Linked DNA regions of Xenopus tropicalis. The protein of the gene in region 2 binds, or shares a complex with, the protein of the main gene of each other region. Links are inferred from orthologs where the notes say so. Each region holds a gene or a part of one and is shown on either strand. Other genes may lie near its edges.

Region 1 (3,731 bases), on a different chromosome or scaffold from region 2:
CTTCATCCTCTTCTAGAAACAAATAAAATTATTATGTCAGACCTGTATAGTGGGATATAGGGGGCAAACAAATCAGAATTACAGCTTTTTTTGCAGATATACAATAGTATCACCAAGAACATACCATCTTCCTCCTCCTCTTCCTCCCCTTCGGCACCATCTTCAACGTAATCGTCATCATCCTCCTCATCCTAATAAGACAAGAACAATTATTATTTGCACCTCTAAGTGTTGCATATTCACTAATCTAATGGCAAATCAGTGAGGGCATTTGTAGATGCTGCCATTAAAGGAAAACTAAACCCTAAAAATGAATATGGCTAAAAATGCCATATTTAATATAATGAACTTACTGCACCAGCCTAAAGGTTCTGCATCTCTACAGTGGTAACGATCCAGGTGTCAGGGGCACTGCACATGCTCAGTGTGCTATGAGCTCAGGTCAGACAGTGAAAAGATGGGGAGCTACTGGGGGCATCTATCTTCCTGCCTTGGGACTTGTTTTTGGAACCCCAAAAGCTAAGGTGTAGTATTTCTAGCCCACTAGAAAAGCTTTAAGTTAAGCTTTAAGATAGATTAAGAACAAAAAAAAAAACAAAAAAACCCGGAATGGGACTGACCTATTGGCCCACAGGCCAGATACTGTATAAGGAGCTAAGCAAGGTAATGTTGCCTATTGCCTGTATGTTTGGCCCATTGCCCATATTACCAAATTTACACGTAACCCCAGCTTTATTCATTTTGGATAAAAGTTTTGCAAAAATGACAACATAATGCAATTTAACAGTCAGTCATTGTTTGCGGTGCACTTGATCACCTCCACAAACTTTATATTACTGTGTCCTGCCCAGGGGCGGGCCAAGCCGACCGGGCGCCCTAGGCAACACGGGTCAGCCACCTCGCCCCCGTGTGCTTTCGCGCATGCGCAGTTGAGGGGGGCGGGGTTTGCGACGCGATCGATCATTGCTCCCACCGCATGACAAGCGGCGGGCCAATGACTAAGAGAGCAGACTAGGGGTAGGCAGGAGAAGGTCCTGCAAGGTGCCCCCCAATCGTTGCGCCCTAGGCAGCTGCCTCTTCTGCCTACCCCTAGTTCCGGCCCTGGTCCTGGCCATCTACCTGGCAAAGAAGCGTGCTAAAAAAATATATTCCCAATAACCTATGATTTATATGCAGATCTGAATACTTACACGAATCTCTTCTTTCATTAAATACGACAGCCCAACTTCTTCCTCCTCCTCCTCCTCCTCTTCGTCTCCTAAATCTGAGGCACCTTCTTCATCCTCATCTTCCTCGTAACCCCGTGGTCCTGGTTCTTCATCATCATACTCATACTCATCATCTGTGTATGCAAAATGCATGTAATGGAAAAGGTCGATGGCACAGCACTGTGCAAAGGGGTGAGGACTGTATTTTAAATCTAGTTAGATGAATCAGTGTCTTACTTTATGTTCAATGCCTGCAGGGTCGGACTGGGCCGATGCGACACCAGAAAAAACCTAGCAAGCCCCAGTGGGCCCTGCACACCCCCCAGTCCGACCCTGAATGCCTGTGTGCTCTCTAAACTTTAAACTCAAGCCTATGATTAAGTGCTTGGTAAGCATAAAACGCGTTAGGCTTTGTACATGGGGTTTATTTTAATGGAGCAATAAAGTTCATATCTTTTAGCTTTTATGCTTTCGTGCAGATTTATATTTAGCCACTGTTCCCCTCTTTGGCCATTAGAGGGTATAAATTGCACCTATATTCCGGATTTTTATATACAGCAATAATGGTCCCACATTCTGGCTTTTGAAGGAAATATACTAACATGTGACCAAAGCCCGTATAATTAGCTTTGGTTACCCATTGGACAAATCAGTTAGAAGCCAGAATCATGTATTCTGTGGGCCATGATTACCGTGTTTAGAGAATTATTCAGGCCTAGCTTAGCCTATGGATACATGTCAAACTATTAAAGAAGAATGTATGCAGGTTATAGATATAAAACAAACAGGATATTTACCATCATCATCCTCTTCCGAGTCTGGGGCTTCGTTATCCTCCTGATCAAACCCATCCAGGTATGTAATTTGGGAAAGCCGCTGAAAGATGTTTTCTCTGTAATCTTCTAGGTTTGTGATCTCACAGTTAAACAGGTCCAAGCTCTTTAAATTTTTTAAGTTGGCCTGAAATCAAAATAAGATGTTGCCTTAAGCATAAATTCACGGAGCTGAATACTTACAGCCTGAGAATGAATGGGTGGATTAATGCAATGGTGCGCCATGATGGAGCAGATAAGCAAACAATGCAATACAATTAGGAATCAATAGAATGCTAGTTTAGGAGAATAAAGTGGGAATAACCTGTTGGTTGCAGAAAAAAGTGTTTTAAATTAAATGACAATATAATGTTACCCTGCACTGGTAAAAACTATTTGCTTCAGAAACATTATTATAGTTTATATAAACAAAGCTGTTGTGTATCCAAGGGAGCAGCTATTCAAAGCAGAAAAAGGAGAAGAGAGACAGGTTACATAGAACAGAAGCTCTGCAGTATACAATGGGATTCTACACAGCTTATCTGTTATCTTTATGTAACCAGTGCTATTTAGCCCTAATTCAACTTGAATGGCTGCCCCCTGGCTACACAGCAGCTTTGTTTATATAAACTATTGAAGCCTTTCTGAAACAACTTTTACCAGTGCAGGGCAGAAGTACACTTGGGGGTATATTTATCATGCTGTGTAAAAAGTGGAGTAAAACATCACGGGTGATGTTGCTGATAGCAGCCAATCAGATGCTTTGCTTTGGTTTTCCAACTGTTGAAATCTAATTGCTGAATGGTTACCCTGGGTAACATCACCGGTAATGCTTCACTCCACTTTTTACACAGCATGATAAATATACCCCATATTTTAACCACTTTTACATTTTTTTGGCATTACTGTGCCTGCAATAAATCTTTGCTTAGGCGGCGACATAACCGCTCATAAATGCCTTTCCACCGGCACAAATACTAATCTCTGGCGGATAGGCCTTTACAGTGCTTCAGTTTTCCAAATTCATGCAAAGTGCCCTCCTGCTGGCAACTTGGTGCAACTTCAGCAAACCAAAGTGATGCCAAGGCCTTTCCAGCAGCGACTCCTATTGTTGCTGGCGGAAAGGCATTTTGGATCGGTTAGTTGCCCGCGATAGAGAGCTGCCATATTATGTAGGGCATCACCCTTAAGAGGGGCTTGGATGACTTCTTGAACAAGCATAATAACCAATATCTATTGTGATCTTAAAGGTGTTGTTCACCTTTGAGTTAACTTTTAGTATGATGTAGAGAGCGATATTCTGAGACAACTTGCAACTGCTCTTCATTTTTTATTGTTTGTAGTTTTTTTGTTATTTCAGCTTTTGTTCAGCAGCTCTCCAGAGTTTCAGCAGCTGTTTGGATCCAAATTACCTTAGCAACCAGAGTGTTTGAATGAAAGACTGATAGGTGAATAGAAAAATTAAGTACTAAAACGTTAACACTTAAACTGTACTTTCACAGAGCAATAGTTTTTTTTAGCTGCTGAGCCCCATTCGAAAACTGCAAATAGTTAGAAGGGAAATAGTTCAAAAACTATAAAAAATAATGAAGACCAAAATAAGTCGCTTAGAATTGGCCATTCTGTAACATTCTAAAAAGGTAAATTAGGGTGAACCACCCCTTTAAGATCTACGTTTAGTATAGGTATAACATATGTATTGATAGTATTA
Region 2 (3,794 bases):
TCTAGGCTTGTTGGAGGACTGAGATTGGTAGTCCCTGGATGATGATGATGATGTCCTAGATGGCCTTCCACGAAAGAAGCGTCCCCGTCGAAAGGAGGTACGGTTCTTCGGTTGTGGGAGTAGGGTGCTCTTTCCTCCGGTAGCCTGGCTGATGATTTTGTCCAGTTCAGGACCGAACAGGAGCTTGCCCTTGAAGGGGATGGAGGTTAGAGACTTTTTGGATGAGAGGTCGGCTGACCACAGTTTAAGCCATAGAGAACGACGTGCCGCTACCGAAAGAGCTGATGTGCGGCTGATGGCTTGAGCCGCGTCCAGGGATGCTTCGCACAGGTATTCATTGGCATCTTTGATCTGGGATGCCAGGGTCGCTAATTCTTGTCTGGCGGCGCCAGAGTTGATTCCCTCCATGAGGGAGTCGGACCAGGATTGTATGGCCCGAGATACCCATGCCGATGCCAAAACCGGTCTCAGACTTTCTCCGGCCGCTGTAAATGCGGCTCTGAGGAAACCTTCCGTCTTTTTGTCCATGGAATCCTTGAATGAGGAAGCGTCGGGGACCGGAAGGGCAGTGTTCTTGGAAAGGCGCGAGACGGGAGCATCGACTGAAGGTGGCGTAGACCACTTATGAAGGGTTTCCTGAGGGAATGGGTAGGAGCGCTGGAACCTCCTATTGGCTTGAAAGCGCTTCTCTGGCTGATCCCACTCTGACTGAATGATGCTGTCTAGCTGTTCATGAGTAGGAAACATGGAAAGTAGCTTTTTCTGGCGTTTGAAAAGCGTTTGTGCTGAGCTCTGAGACTCTGGGGTCTTGAGATCGAGGCAGGAGATTACTGCCGCGATGAGAGAATCTACGGCTTCTGATGGAGGTCTGGAAGGTTCCTCGGTGTCGGCAAGGTCATCATCATCCGATATCTCGCCCTCACTTAGTGACTGTCTGTCCCAGTCGGCTGATAGTTGAGGTGATTCTGAGTCGCTGTAGTCCTCGGCATGCATGGGGACATGACGTTTGAGGGATTTGGGACGAGTGTCCGAGTCTTCCCGATCTAGCTTGTCCAGGAGTTTGTCCAGACATGCGGCCAGTTTGGGAATGCCCGTGGATAGAGAGACTGCCCAGGATGGAGGGTCCTGGCTAGGAGCCGCGGTCGGTATCTGTGCTGTGTGTGCATCTGCAGGAGTGGCATCATCCGCAGGTTCGGCAGCTTGGACCGGTGGAGTAGGGTCCTGGGCCTGGGAAGCAGTTTCAGCCGTAGTTTTGGAGCAGGAGGAGCAAAGTGGTTCCTTTCTGCCGGAAGGTAGGCGTTTGCAGCACCTGGCGCAGGCGAGAAATTTGACCTTGGAGGAGCTGGAAGCCCCCCTGGAAAAGGGGCCCCCTGAATTGCCCTCTGCCATAGGACTGAAAGAGTTAGTGTAGGAGCAAGCGAATATTAATGCAGAGCACTACAAGAGTTATGGTGCCAATGCAGAAAAAAGGGGTGTAAACAGAATAACGACCCGTGTATGGTAGTGCCAGTACAGAGCTAGTACACAGTGTCAGTACAAAGCTAGTACAGTGCCTGTTGGGGAGCTAGTACATAAGGTCAGTACATGCCAAAATAATATCCAGAGAAAGTGTAGTGTTAATACACCTATCTAGAAGGTAATATGGAAAAATTACATGTGCTCTGGGAGAGAGGTGCTTTAAGTGCTTAGCAATGCATAAAAGCAGTAGAGAAGCATTAGAAATATACACACATACAGTCCCCAATAAGGACCCAACCCCCTTAATGCCTTTCTCCCTCTAGCCAGCGCCTGACCCCTGCCAGTAGTAGTAGAAAAAAATAGACCGTGGTCCCTGTGAGCCCTGTGTGCCAGTGCCTCTGCCCAGGGATTGCTGTTCTTGGAGTTGTTCAGAAGGAGCAGAAGTGGCCGTGCGATCCGGAGGATAGAAGGAGAGGGCACCCAAGTGGAGAAGTGGCGCAAAGATCGCTGACGTCACCGCCGAGCAGGAAGTGGAACGCATCGCTGGAACGCATGGAGGATAGACGCTACAGAAGAGCCGCATGGGGCCTACAGTGAACGGCGCTTGTGAAGGTAAGAGGCTGGAGGCAGAGGCAGTGCTGGCAGGCAGGCAGGCAGGGCTGAGCCGGGCAGACTAGGAAGGGGAGCAAGGGGAAGAGATAGCACTTGAGGGCTGGCTTAGGACGGAGAAGGCAGAGCTGTAGAGAAAGGGGGTTGGTTGGGCTGAATAGCCTGCCGGGAGCAGGGCTACTATGAGAGGCACGCTTTAATGCCAGATAGTAGGCACAGTACTGGGAGGCGCTGGGCAGCTTCTGCGCTCTGTATTCAGAGGCAGGGTGTCTGCAGGGCTGTAACTTACGTGCCCCAGCGTCCTCACTTTTTCCCACGTAGGGGGAAGCCTAAGTAGAGTAGCTCCTGTTGGAGGCCTCTAGGACGACCCCGGTTGCCAGATTGAATCTGGCTGAAGAAAACAGACTCGAAGAGTAGGATGATCCTGTCTCCTTGTGGGACACTAGAAAAAAACTGGCTTAGGCAGGAAGTACGTGGGGGTATAGTAGCAGGGAGGAGGGGTTAGTTCTCTTCTTCCTCTTCTAGTGTCCTGCCTCCTGCTGGTACCTACTATACCCATGGTCCCTGTGTCCCACAGACACCTGCAAGAGAAATACTCTTTATATCCAGCGTTCGATCAATGCACATTAGAGCATACATTTACATGCAAGTGCACGCAAGTATTCAGCCAAAATTTGTATTTAAGTTGCCTTAAAGTTTAGCTCACCAAACTAAAATTTGGGGCCTCCTCAAACAGTGTTTTTCATTTTATTGAACTGGCTCATTGTGATAACGATTTCCTACTGACTGTAGGAGGAAATGTCACTGTATTTGGGGGGGGGGGGGGGGACGGTAACCCACTCTAGCATTTTTGATTAATGACCAATAACAATCTGCCTTATTCTGTATACATCCCTTCACCTGCCAATGACACCGGTCATAAGACTTACAGTTCTGGTTTCACTGTCGTCCCGTTCTGGATTCACTTTCACCACTATGGTAGAAATCATGCCAACCATTTCCGGAGCAGGAACTGTGTTATCAGCAATTACAGGAGGATTCTCAAAGTAGCGGTTCTTGTATACATAGGAGTAAGAAGATTAACATTAAGGAAAGGATGAAGAAAAGGGAGTTAACAGAAATATAGGGAAAAAAATAATTACATCACTATAAAACCTAATATGCGTGGCCCTTTAAGCATAAATGCTCTCCATACCTCAGGCTTAGTGTTATAATTTAAACCTAAGCCTAATGTCTAGTGACCCCAGCAGCGGTAAGTGAATCTAAGCTGGCCATGAAATTAGGCTAATGCCAGACGAGGCGTAGGGCGGATATTTTCGGCAAGCGGAAAAGCGATTGCTGAAAATTCCGCCCTACGCCTCCTACATGTGCCTGCACCCGAATGAATAGAATACGCTCGGGTGCAGGCACATGTAGCCGATATACGCATAAAAACACGAGAGAATGCAAAGTCTTGCGTTTTTATGCGTATTTGGGCGACATGTGCCTGCACCCGAGCGTATCTCATTCATTCGGGTGCAGGCACAAGTAGGAGGCGTAGGGCGGTATTTTCAGCAAGCGTTTTTCCGCTTGTCGAAAATATCAGCCCTACGTCTCGTCTGGCATTAGCCTTAAGGGTCATGGACCTGATTCGTTCAAGTCCTGATCAAGAGTTTCCTTATTTTTATATAATGGTCTTTACTGTGTGTTCAATTAAAGAAAGCAACAACATGAAACAGCTTCAAAGA
Region 3 (3,794 bases), on a different chromosome or scaffold from region 2:
AAACAAAAACCACAAATATAAAGACCAACTGCAAATTGTCTCCGAATAGCATTCTCAACATCATACTAAGTTTATTTTAAGGTGACCAACCCCTTTAAGTGGTAGTTTAACTATAACATTGTGCAGATACATGCTGAGACAACTGCTCTTCACAGTTTCAGCAGTTCCATTCTTTTCCTAGGGTCCAGTTTACCCTAGAGAGAGAAGAGTAATAAAAACTAGCAAAAAAATTGTAGCCCTACTAACTGCCAAGGATAGTAACCACCACTCCCTCCCCCTTTTGGAAGCTGGAAAGGGCAGAAATTATAAAAAGTGACGAATAGGATAATCCATAACATACTGAAAGTTAAAGTTGAACTACCTCTTTAATGTAAGTCTTCTTTATAAGTAAGAGCTGACTTTGTAAATTGGTTTCCTATTGTGCAGCTGCGGCAAGAAGTTGTGGTCTGCATGCGGAGGGACACGGCCCTTGAGACCGCCCTAAACGCAAAGGCCTACAAACGCAGCAAGCGGCAGTCCCTGCGCGAGGCGCGTATCACGGAAAAACTGGAAAAGCAGCAGAAGATTGAGCAGGAGCGCAAGAGGAGACAAAAGCACCAGGTATGGGCAAGAATAATGGCGGTTTTGGCATCAAGCTCAGATAATTCTGAGACTTGGACTTTTATTGCGGGGCTACAACTGTGATTGTAGATGGACCTGACTTGTTGGTGCATCTGGCTCATACAATATGCAGAGTTCCTGTGTGTGCCAGATGCTTCTGTATCTTATGCCAACCCTCTGCCGCTGTTCTCATGTTTTAGGAGTATCTAAACAGCATCCTCCAACATGCCAAGGACTTCAAGGAATTCCATCGCTCAGTCACAGGGAAGATCCAAAAACTGACAAAGGCTGTGGCCACGTACCATGCCAACACCGAGCGAGAGCAGAAGAAGGAGAATGAAAGGATTGAGAAGGAGAGAATGCGCAGGCTCATGGTTAGTACTTGCCCTTTACCCTGGCACAAGAGCTTCATTTAATGGGATATACTGTTGGGGCAACACTGAGTGTATATCTGACTGTGTTTTCCTGTGCATTTATTTTCTTGCTGCAATGTATTTTGTTCTTTTAGGCTGAGGATGAGGAGGGCTACAGAAAGCTGATCGATCAGAAGAAAGACAAGCGTCTGGCCTACCTCCTGCAGCAGACGGACGAGTATGTAGCAAATCTGACGGAACTGGTGCGGCAGCACAAGGCAGTGCAAGCCCTCAAAGAAAAGAAGAGAAGGAAAAAGAAAAAGGTGGGATAATTGCCAGAGATTCCACTTAGCTGTGAAACTTGTTACTGCCCCTATTGGAATGGTGTAGGGGGTCTCCGAGGGAGCAAAGTGAAATCTAGATTGGTGAACAAGTTGTTCGTTTTCTTCCAGGTGCAAGAGATCACAGAAGGCCAGCAATCGGCACTTGGACCTGATGGAGAGGTGGGCAGGGAATATGGAATATAGGCTGGTTTGGAGAGACGTTCCCTTTGCTGTGAGGGTGTAGTGGTGGTAATCCTGTTCCAGGGAAGATTTGACTTTACGTAACTTGTGTACCTGTTTGTATCCTAGCCACTGGATGAGACCAGCCAGATGAGCGACCTCCCAATCAAAGTGATCCATGTGGAAAGCGGAAAGATCTTGACGGGTGCTGATGCGCCAAAGGCTGGGCAGCTGGAGGCATGGCTTGAAATGAACCCTGGGTATGTTTGGGGCTAGGCAAAGGTAACGGTGCTTGAGCTGTGGCAGTTTATTGGGCAGAAAAAACTTCTACCTAAAACCTACTTTACTTTCTCTTGGATAGGTATGAAGTTGCACCACGGTCCGATACCGAGGAGAGTGAATCAGAGGATGAGGAAGAGGTAAGTTGAATTGGAGGACAGGCGGACGGTCAACCTTTTTTTCCTTCCTATTGCCTCCTATGTCCGTCTATGTGGGGCTTTTATGCTTGGCTCTTGAAAACAGTGTTTATTATACCTCTGATACTTTTATGGCTCAGGAAGAAGATGAACAACAGCAGCCTTCAGTCACTTCCCTGCTGGCTGTGGACGAGACTAAAAAAATTGCTGATCCAGACAGCGACGATGTGTCTGAGGTGCATGCACGGGAAATAATAGAGTAAGTATGGGGGGGGCGTCAGGAATTGCATTATATTTATTAAAGCCGCACATACTTGGGCCGAAAGGCTGCCGGTTCTCTTCCAATAACCAAATTGCCAATATGTAACTCAGTAAGTGACAGTGTGCCTGTATGTTTCCTCCCAGTAATGCCCGACAGGATGTGGATGACGAGTACGGTATATCACATGCTGAGACCAGTGGCCTCCAGTCTTACTATGCAGTGGCGCACGCAGTAAGTGAGAAGGTGGACAAGCAGTCAACCCTGTTGGTTAACGGCATCCTGAAACAGTATCAGGTGAGTGGCGCATACGTTGCATCTGGGTTTTCTAGTCTTGGGCATTATAATGCATTGCTGCACTGGAGAAAAATACACCTGTTTAGCCTTGAAAATAGGCATAACTGCTTTCTTGAACCCACCCCCTTGCAGTGATCCCCTGGCTTACCTTGTATTGTCACACGCTTTCTCAAATAACTTCTAGCTAATACTGTGAAACATGTGGGATAAACACCTTCTTCATTTGGTCTTATTAAATCCTGTTATTTGTATAAAATGGGAAGGTTTTTTTGTTTTTTACTTTATTTTGCCTTATTTCTGCAAACATGTGACTGCCTGAAAGCCTAGAGGTATTGTAACTTGTGAGATCAGGGGACACATTGCCGTTCACAGAACATCTGTCCACCATAATACTTCCAATACTAATATCAGTCCAAACTCTTGATTTTTATGTGTCCAACGATCTCTGTTTGACATCATTTTATTATGATCTGGCTTCTAGCAATGTAGTATAGTGCATAACAGTCGCAAAACATGTGAGATGTGTAGGTTGGACCAGCCTGGACTGGCAATCTGTGGGTTCTGGCCAATGCCAGAGGGGCTGCTGTAAGGTGCCATAGACACTCACTATTTATTGGGCTGCTGGGGGGCTGTTTGGGCCTCTGTGTACTGAAAATCAGGCCCGGACTGGCAATCTGTGGGTTCAGGCAAATGCCAGAGGGGCTGCTGTAAGGTGCCATAGACACTCACTATTTATTGGGCTGCTGGGGGGCTGTTTGGGCCTCTGTGTACTGAAAATCAGGCCCGGACTGGCAATCTGTGGGTTCAGGCAAATGCCAGAGGGGCTGCTGTAAGGTGCCATAGACACTCACTATTTATTGGGCTGCTGGGGGGCTGTTTGGGCCTCTGTGTACTGAAAATCAGGCCCGGACTGGCAATCTGTGGGTTCAGGCAAATGCCAGAGGGGCTGCTGTAAGGTGCCATAGACACTCACTATTTATTGGGCTGCTGGGGGGCTGTTTGGATCTCTGTACTTAAAGTACTATGACTAATTTTGAATCCCAGCCCAGACCTGGGTTGGAGGGTAGTACAGTGTGTCTGTATGAGATACAGATTCAGTTAGGAGGAGGGTTCCTTCTGCTTGTTTGATGTACAGACTTGGATAGTGGTTTCAGTCACTTTTATTATATTGGGTCTGTGTTGTTTCATTCACACTCTTTTCCCTCTCAGATTAAGGGCCTGGAGTGGCTGGTCTCCCTGTACAACAATAACTTGAATGGGATCCTTGCCGATGAGATGGGTCTGGGAAAGACTATTCAGACCATTGCTCTGATTACATACCTCATGGAACACAAGCGCATCAACGGGCCTTTCCTCATCATTGTGC

Evidence for each region.
Region 1: trrap (region 2) and anp32e share a complex: the UniProt entries of both Homo sapiens proteins name them as parts of the SWR1-like complex. The link is inferred for Xenopus tropicalis from reciprocal best matches to the Homo sapiens genes TRRAP and ANP32E.
Region 3: trrap (region 2) and smarca4 share a complex: the UniProt entries of both Homo sapiens proteins name them as parts of the BAF53 complex. The link is inferred for Xenopus tropicalis from reciprocal best matches to the Homo sapiens genes TRRAP and SMARCA4.

What each region holds. Positions count from the first base shown.
Region 1 is NC_030684.2:129,175,778-129,179,508, forward strand, and holds part of anp32e (acidic leucine-rich nuclear phosphoprotein 32 family member E), read right to left. Parts: intron 2,169-3,731; coding exon 2,006-2,168; intron 1,343-2,005; coding exon 1,191-1,342; intron 192-1,190; coding exon 125-191; intron 13-124; coding exon 1-12. UniProt on the Homo sapiens protein: Histone chaperone that specifically mediates the genome-wide removal of histone H2A.Z/H2AZ1 from the nucleosome: removes H2A.Z/H2AZ1 from its normal sites of deposition, especially from enhancer and insulator regions.
Region 2 is NC_030685.2:26,341,969-26,345,762, reverse strand, and holds part of trrap (transformation/transcription domain-associated protein), read right to left. Parts: intron 3,123-3,794; coding exon 2,997-3,122; intron 1-2,996. UniProt on the Homo sapiens protein: Adapter protein, which is found in various multiprotein chromatin complexes with histone acetyltransferase activity (HAT), which gives a specific tag for epigenetic transcription activation.
Region 3 is NC_030679.2:138,920,428-138,924,221, forward strand, and holds part of smarca4 (transcription activator BRG1), read left to right. Parts: intron 1-426; coding exon 427-600; intron 601-800; coding exon 801-974; intron 975-1,108; coding exon 1,109-1,276; intron 1,277-1,405; coding exon 1,406-1,456; intron 1,457-1,585; coding exon 1,586-1,716; intron 1,717-1,817; coding exon 1,818-1,875; intron 1,876-2,012; coding exon 2,013-2,131; intron 2,132-2,277; coding exon 2,278-2,428; intron 2,429-3,637; coding exon 3,638-3,794. UniProt on the Homo sapiens protein: ATPase involved in transcriptional activation and repression of select genes by chromatin remodeling (alteration of DNA-nucleosome topology).